Cricetulus griseus: one gene and its partner. The main gene of each other region encodes a partner of the protein of the gene in region 2 in a complex. Links are inferred from orthologs where the notes say so. Each region holds a gene or a part of one and is shown on either strand. Other genes may lie near its edges.

Region 1 (4,015 bases), about 64 Mb from region 2:
GTATGATTTCTTCACAGGTAACATAACCCAGTAAGAATGTGAGAGCACAGACTAATACCATAGGCACTGTGGCAAAGTATAACACTGGCCAAGTCATACTAAGTAACACAGAGAACCAAAGAACGCGGCTGTGCTTCAGTATAAAGAACAGAAGTCCAGAGTGGAGAAATGTCCAGATTTGCCACTCCTCGATACACAGTAAGCAAACCACAGGCTTTCATCTCATTTTTAAAGTCCAGAGACTGTGCTGAGAATCCCTAGTAGATCAGACCTCTACTGCCTGAAAATAACTGTCTACAGAAAGTATGATTAGAGCAACAAAGAGCAACAAGAGTGTTTTAAAATCGACTAGTTTAGCAAATCTCTAAAAGAAAATAACATTTTAGGCTTGGTTTTAATTACACTTTAGTAAATGTAGCCAAATCCTGAAAAAACAAAAATTAGAAAGAGGTGAGAAAATGCATAATTAAATGAAATGCAAAAACACCATGCAGAGTGAAAATAAACTTCATGAGAGATTAAAGATTTTTACAAGGAAAACCTATTAAAACAGGTACATGGGCTTTAATGATCAAGCCCAAACAGCAGACTCTTTTCCCCCTTAGATACTCAAATTGCTGTTTTCAGGTATTTAGAAAAAATAACTCCAATTAGAAACCATAATGCTGGGACATTCTTTTCTTTTGATTTATTTAATTTGAATACATGTCCTGCCAACTATAAAACACTAGTGTGACCAACACACCAGAAATCCCAGCATGATCAACAAGTGCAGCTTTTGCACCTGTCAAGGGACACTGAGAAGAAGTAACTATTAAATGTCAGTCTTAATCCTCATCAGAACTGGAATCATCCTCTTGGTCAGAAAGTTCCGGCACTGGGAATCGAAGAATGGCAGCAACTCCCGTCAACTGGCCAAGCTGTTCCCCAGACACATGGAGACTAGAGAATATCCGAACCGTGCCTGCGTTATCTTTCACGCTGTCCACCAGCCTGACATACCGGCTCCGGGTGGCCACATCCTGATGCCGGAAGAGCTCATCACTGATGAGCAATGTGTCGATCGCCAAGGCTTCGTTGGCCCTCTCCACCTGCTTGAGTCCATAGAAGGCTCGGTCAGGTTCGTGCTGTAACATTTTATAGAAGTCATCCAAGGCTTTTACTTCTCCAGCAGCTTTCGTGTCTGAAAGGCGGCTAGCTACAGTAGGGTCACAAAGGGCCTCTTTCAGGGAGTACTTGTGTCCAGAGGAGGCGTGTACCTAGAATCACAATTATAAAAGACAAAGAATCTTTGAAAGTATCCGTTAATCAGCCCACAATGGCGTAAGACAAAAGCATGAATAAGGCCTTATCTATTTAAGGACTTCTGCAAAGGTTACCTTATAAATGTGGTAGACCTACACCGTTCTCTTTACTGATTCATTTATAATCCCAGTTAAATTGAGTTTTAGCCTTCTACTACTCTAAAACATTACGAACCATTCACACCAATCCCTCTGCCCACTCCTGAATTTCTCTGGGTAAGAGTTTTTACCTGAAGGAATTTGGACCGGTTTTCCAGGAGCACTTTGTTGTCAGTCTTCACCGCTTGCTGAAACATGTAGTCGCAGAACTGCTCTCGAACAAACCCTGGGCTGGCCACCAGAACGCACTTTACAACATCAAAGTTGATGTGGCGCTGGATGGCCTGGACCACCTGTTCATAGAATCTCTCCAGGGCCTTGTCATGCTGGGAGCAGTTGCCTTTCCGTTTCCTGGGTATGTTCACCTCCACCTTGGCACGGGTGAGGGTCATACTGGGTGTCACTAAGCAGACGTGGGCGAGGCCCTCCTGCATGACCACAGCTGCCACATCAGCGCTCCACGCTGGGTCACAAGCCTGCTCGATGCGCTCCAGAACCACACTGTCCCACTGTTTCTTGGCCAGGGTGAACTGGCGGTTGGGCTCCAGTTCGATGGTGTGGTAAGCTCCCATCTTGACATACTCATTCTCTTGGATATTGGTCCCCTTAACTCGCAGCTGGCAGGCTTGAGAGTCAAAGTCGATGGCCTCCACGCAAAGAGTGAGGGTGGTGCGGACGCGGTTGCTCCCGACGCTGCCCGTGGAGGACTCGGTCTGGACCTTGCGGATGGTGGAGGCGCGCAGGCTGTCGCCCACCTGCACCAGATTGTAGGTGTGCCACATGTCCTCGGGCTCCTCGGGGATGAGGGTGACCTGGCCCGCATTGTCCTTCTCGATGTTCTTCCTCACAAGCTTCATGACCTCGCCAGGGGCTCACTTCAAAACAGAAGGCGCCGAGGGGGGTCCGCAAGAGACACAGAGGCGCGGGTGGGGGTGGGGTCCTAGGCTGGGAAGGGGACAGGAGAGAAACACTACCTCTAACTCCTGCCAGCCCGGGACAGGCTTTCCCCCGACGCTTTTCTGAGCCTCGGCGCGCAGATCCACGCTGCGCGGCAGACCCCACGCTGAGCACACACAAGCCGGCACTTTCAGTCACCGGCCCCGCGCAAGTGGCTGACGCGGCGATCGCGCATGCGCAGCCCGCCTCCCGGCGCATGTCTGTCGTCCCTACCGGAGAGGCGGGCCCTATCGCTTACGCGCGCACGCAAGCGCAGTAACAGGAAAGACGCAGCCTAGCTGAAAGTCAAGGGAGGTGCTAAACGGCTCTGGCCGCCACTCTTGAGAATTAAAGCCGAACTCCGGGTGGCTGAGTTTTCCCACGCCTCCCTGTGTACGAGGAACTGCGGAGTGTGTGAGTGCTAACGTAAGTATCTAAACTGAGTTTGCCACTTTGCACTTCCTTCCCTGATGTGGAGCCAGCTTCCAAACTTATGTAAAAGTGAAAAGAGCCCACGAAAGTGCAGTGCAGACTTAGTCCCCGAAGTCCAAACTCTGCCTGGTCTTGCTCATTCCTTCCCCGCACTCAGACGTGACGCGCGCTTGTTGGCACTGGGATTCCCAGAAGCAGTTTCTAAGGACTAGTCACGTTCGGCCTGGGCTCAGCAACATGCCCAACTGTTTTCTGCGACGTTACCCTGTTTGGACTACCCAGTTAACCCAGATGTTAAAGGACAGAACCCAGAGAGAGCAGAAGCTATGCGTGGAATGTACCCCTGGTGGACCTCTGGGTGGCTTGACCTGATGTCCTGGGAATCCCAGAATCCAAAATTGGCAGTCAGCTCTCCAAGGCTCAGTAGTCTCTGAGGCGCTCAGTGTGGGAGCTGGCCTGCAATAGATTAGCGCTGATTCTCCCTGCCAATAACTGGCCAAAAGCTGAGGCTATGGTAAATTAAGATAAACTGATCTACTAACTATGACCGCCCTCCAAAGAAGAGCCATAGAATTGGTTGTAAAGAAAAAGAAAAACCTTACACACACACACCCTTTTTTTTCACCATGGCGATGGGAATATAGGAATGCCTCTTTCTTGAGTCTGTAGACAGTGGGAAGCAGAGAAGTCTTGAGCTCACTCATACTCTCACTGTGTTTTAAGTATTTTAAGGATCAAGAAGGTGCTGCATAGGCTCTTAATGAATGAAAGGTCTTCATTGGAGTACAATCAACTTTTGGAAATTTCAAAAACACTTTCCCACTCTTTCTTTTCTTATAAAGAAAATGCTACCCTAATTTGTAGAAAAGTAAAATGAAATTCTGAGAAAGCTGATGAATGTGTTCAAGAGCATGTAAGTGGCATTCAGATTCAGGACTGATGAACTACACACTGTTCCAGAAACCACTCATCTGTCTTCTAATCATCTGTGCAAATGCAAGTTACGAGCTGTTATCCCCTGCCATCTCCTTTAGCTGACGCCTTTACCAGTTCACTCTCCACACTCTGGGAACCAGCCTGTTTCTACCAAGTCTAGGTAATCATTGTTATTTTTGAGAAAGATTTTACTTCGGTTAAGAGGCCTGGCTGCTCTTCCAGAGAACCAGGGTTCAATTCCCGGCACACACATGGCAGCTCACAACTGTCTGTAACTCCATTTCCAGGGGATCTGACACCTTCATACC
Region 2 (4,269 bases):
AGAATAACCTTGAACTCCCGATCCTCTGCTTCCACCTACCAAGTACTGAGATTAAAGGAATTGAACCACCATATCCAGCACATTTAATATTTTTCAGCACCTTAATGTTCTGTGTTAAGTTTCCTTACATGGGCAAATATAGTTTAACAACTTTACAAATTAGATAATATATGAGTAAGATAATATCTTCACTTACAAAGAGATAGGCTGCAATGTAGAAATTATTTAAAGGTGTAAAATAAAACACTTAAAAACCGTATAAAATTAGCATCTACATTTTTTTGCATAAAATTTTGCCTTGGAGCCATTAAACAATGATAGTTAAGAATAACCATTAAGTAGTCAGAATTCAAACCTGAGCCATTTACGAATATGAATTTGTGTTTTCTCATTATCTGGATAAGAAAAGCTGAGTAAGGTAGAATTTGACATTTGCCTTTGATACAAGGTCTTGGCATTCAAAAACAAGCTACAACAAAGAGGTTGTTCGGTATGATAATGAGGTTGATGCTTTTACACAGCATTATTAGCCCTATGTTTTACAAAACGAGGATGTTTAATAACAGGTTATAGATTTATGTATTATGTAATACATCATGAGTACCCAAGGCTAATGCTGTGTCTGAAAAGCTTGTACTAAACGCTCTTAGCAAGTTCACATGTTTATGTATTCAATCAATGCCCAAGGCATAATCTCTTAATTATTCCGTGTTAATGAAAATAGTTTACATAGCTAAGGCCAGACAGTTGTTTACCAGAGCTGTTAAGGGAGGATGGAGCCCATATCTGAAGCCATGAATTACCCACAAAGCATAGTGACCCAGTGTAGCTGTATTTTAATTACTTGTTTAGAAACTTTTTCTCCCTCTAAAGCTTGGACTAATTATTATGCCACATTTACACACTATTGTGGACGGATATCGTTTGTATCTACAGTCTAAAAGCTGAAACAGAATCCTTGGTCCTTGCTCTTATTGAGCCAAATTGGCAGCTTCCCAAAGGATCAAAAGCCAAATATGGAAAATAATCCTGAACGCCGGTGGTCAAAGATGCCTGCATGTCACGTTCACTGTCAAGCAACAGCGTGGAGGTAGCTGAAAGAATTTCCGGCACTGAAATCCACGTCAGTCAACTGGCTTCTGGGCGCCGCCCGCCGGCTCGCGAGTGCGCGTGCGTCCTCGGGAGGCCGGCTGTGACCCTGAGAGCTTGCCGTCGCGTAGTGCGCAGGTATGACGTCGCGTCTGCGCAGACGCTTGGCGCAGCGGCCTGGCGGAAGCCAAGATGGCGCGGAAGAGGTCTCTAGCTCGCGGTTGGCGCTTTATCCGTGTCTAAGCCGAGTTCTTTGAGAGGACCGTGGCTGACGCCCTGTGTGCCGCGATGGCTCGGCATCGGAACGTCCGAGGCTATAACTACGATGAAGGTGAGTGGCAGGGCCGCGCCGGGCCGTCATCTTAGCTGTAACAGCTGGGTTCCTGGCCTCATTATCTCCGCCTGGATTGGAATGACCCCGGAGCCACACTAGAACTGGGGTTTGTGTCGAGGAGGGGAGAAGGTGGGGGAAAGGATTAGGACATCAGTTCCCAGGGAAGAGAGAGAGAGTGATGGCTGCCTTCTGGGTTGACCTTATTTACGGACGGGTGACAGTGTGGCATCTCAAGGGCCTACGATGTTTGGTGGCGACGTTGGGATCCGATGCTCTTTGGTATCTAAACGTTGCCTCTTTTCTTATTGTTTCATTTGGGGACTCACGCGCCAGTTTCTAACTTTTGTCTCATAAGCCCTCCTTCACACGTGCCCACGAGGCATTACTTACTTATAAAACAGGCTGGCTTAGTGCTTGCATTCGACCGACCTGCTAAAACTATTAGATTTATATAATATCTTGCCTGTGTTCGTGCGTTTTGACTGCATAACCTCGCTTGACCTGAATTTTCAGCGAATTTCAAAATTCGGAACCTAAGAAATGGAAAAGATTCACGTTTAAAAGGCTCAAGAAGTTAAGTCGTTTTGCTGATCTTCAAGTGTATACTCAGTATATTGACTGCTATACTTGATGTAAATGTATTTTAAAATGGAAATATAAAGCAACACTAGAGGGGAGAGCGTGTAAATAGACTCACTGATGTTTTTAATGAAAAAAATACATATATTAATGTATGTAAGGAGTTAAAAGTGATTTTAGGAAGACTTGTTATACATGAGTGGATAATAACAGGTATTTATCAAGCATCATAGAAGCTAAAAATAAAAACAAATGTGATTAAAGACCTACTGCTTTCGGGAACATGTAATGTTGAAGTCGGATGTTATTGACACCCCTGGGAGATTGTGAGCATCAGTGTACTTAGGCATGGACAGCTAACACCCAGTGCTGCATTTGAAGACTTGGACCCAGTAGGTCAGGGATGTCTTACTTTGCAGACGTTCACCGTCAGAATATTGTAGTGGATATCTAAAAAATGCCTTCCACTCCACTCCCACTGAGAAATGACTTTAGACTGGGAGAGATTTTGTAGATATGAAATAAAGGACACCCATCCCTTTTGTATTTTATTTCCTCATCCAGTGATAACTGAGTACTTGGAGTACTGCGTAAGATACTCCTTAAGTAAGGACTGTCTAAAGGGAGCAGCTGGTTAAAACAAGAGAGATTCCACACAATGTAATGACAGTGCTGTGGGAGCAATGTAAAAGAAAACGTCTAAATCAGAAAGGGTCAGGATTTCTTCGTGAAGTATTTGACAAGAGTTATATGTCCTCTGAGTCAGTGCTAAATACCTTTTATCTTGGCTACCAGAGGTCAAGTTATATTTCTTTGTAACAATTGGTGACATCATAACCAAGCCTGCCCTGTCCTGTCATGGATGTTTTTTGCCCTTCCTGCTTACGAAAGTGTAAATCATTTTCAGTGTCTAGTCTTCTTCCCAGTTAAGCTTCCCTTTGGGGTTTCAATAATTAAAAATTCATAAAAGTATTTTAATTTCATTAGTCTGAGGTCTAAAATCTATTGGTTCCTCTTTGGTCTTAGCCTTTAAGCATGCTGTACCTGTTTCTTGAATGCCCTAGAAAGATGGCTGACTCTCTCTTTTGGAATTGGTTTGAGTATTCTATTCTTGGGGAAATTCTAGTTTTCACATGTGTGTTCCCAGATTGCTCTGTATTTTTCACGGTGAGCACTTGTCATACAGTTTTGTAGTCACCCTGTTCTGGGCTATTAGACTTTTGGAGTTGACAGAGCTGGAGATGTACACACTTTGTACTGAAAATGTCTCTGTAATAGTCTCTGGTATAAATTTATGTTCCTTGCAGGGTTTTTAATAGTTTGTCTCATTAACTGGTGAACACATTAATTTAGTGCCGCATGTATGCCAGGTACTTGGTTAAACTAAGTTTTTCCTGTAATTTCTCATGCATTGAAACATGAGTTGTGCTTTGAAGACAATAAATTAAGAGGAGGCTGCTGAAGGTAAAGGTTGTAAGGAAGACTATTGGAGCCTTACCTAGAGAAAGAAGCAACCTTGGGAAAATCTCAACCAAGAACATACTCCATTAAGACTGACTTACTCCACTTACAAGCTCCATTTTAAGACTTAACAGTCACGAAAGTCAGGCTTTCTGGTTCTCCATGAAGAGTGACTTTATGGCTGGATTGTATACCCTATAAAGATATTTGCCTAGAGTGCAATGGGTGGCTTACCTCAGGTTTTGTGAAGTTAGACAATTCACATATATCATCTACAGGATTATTACTGGATTTTGGTCACATGAAAGATGTGAGAAAATTAAATAAAGCCCAATTAGCTTAAAAACAGAAGGCCTATGTATGTTTTAAAAGTATACATTGTCAGTAATTTAGATTGTTATTAGTAAATATCTTGGAATTTATGGAAAAGTAGACATTTAGGTTTCTTGAAAGTTGGTATTTTCTTATTTTGTAAATTATTCAGGTGTTTGCTCATGAATAAAGAAGACATGATTGAACTTGTAATGAATCTATTTTGTGTTTTAGATTTTGAAGATGATGATTTGTATGGCCAGTCTGTGGAGGACGATTATTGTATTTCACCATCAACAGGTAAGTTATTAAAAAAAAAAAAAAAGATTTCTTTGATTTGACTGTTTAAAAAAGGTTAAGTAAATATGAATGTCATCTTGGACTAAAGTCATTAAGACTATAATGGGTAATTTTTAGAGAGATAGGCAGCTGGGCAGTGATGACACACACCCTTATTCCCAGCACTTGGAAGGCAGAGGCAGGCAGATCTCTAG

Evidence for each region.
Region 1: Hbs1l (region 2) and Pelo share a complex: the UniProt entries of both Homo sapiens proteins name them as parts of the pelota-HBS1L complex. The link is inferred for Cricetulus griseus from reciprocal best matches to the Homo sapiens genes HBS1L and PELO.

The regions. Positions count from the first base shown.
Region 1 is NC_048595.1:332,904,992-332,909,006, forward strand, and holds Pelo (protein pelota homolog), read right to left. Parts: upstream 2,503-4,015; 5' UTR 2,261-2,502; coding exon 1,535-2,260; intron 1,260-1,534; coding exon 828-1,259; 3' UTR 664-827; downstream 1-663. UniProt on the Homo sapiens protein: Component of the Pelota-HBS1L complex, a complex that recognizes stalled ribosomes and triggers the No-Go Decay (NGD) pathway.
Region 2 is NC_048595.1:268,535,081-268,539,349, reverse strand, and holds the start of Hbs1l (HBS1-like protein), read left to right. Parts: upstream 1-1,240; 5' UTR 1,241-1,377; coding exon 1,378-1,420; intron 1,421-4,009; coding exon 4,010-4,075; intron 4,076-4,269. UniProt on the Homo sapiens protein: GTPase component of the Pelota-HBS1L complex, a complex that recognizes stalled ribosomes and triggers the No-Go Decay (NGD) pathway.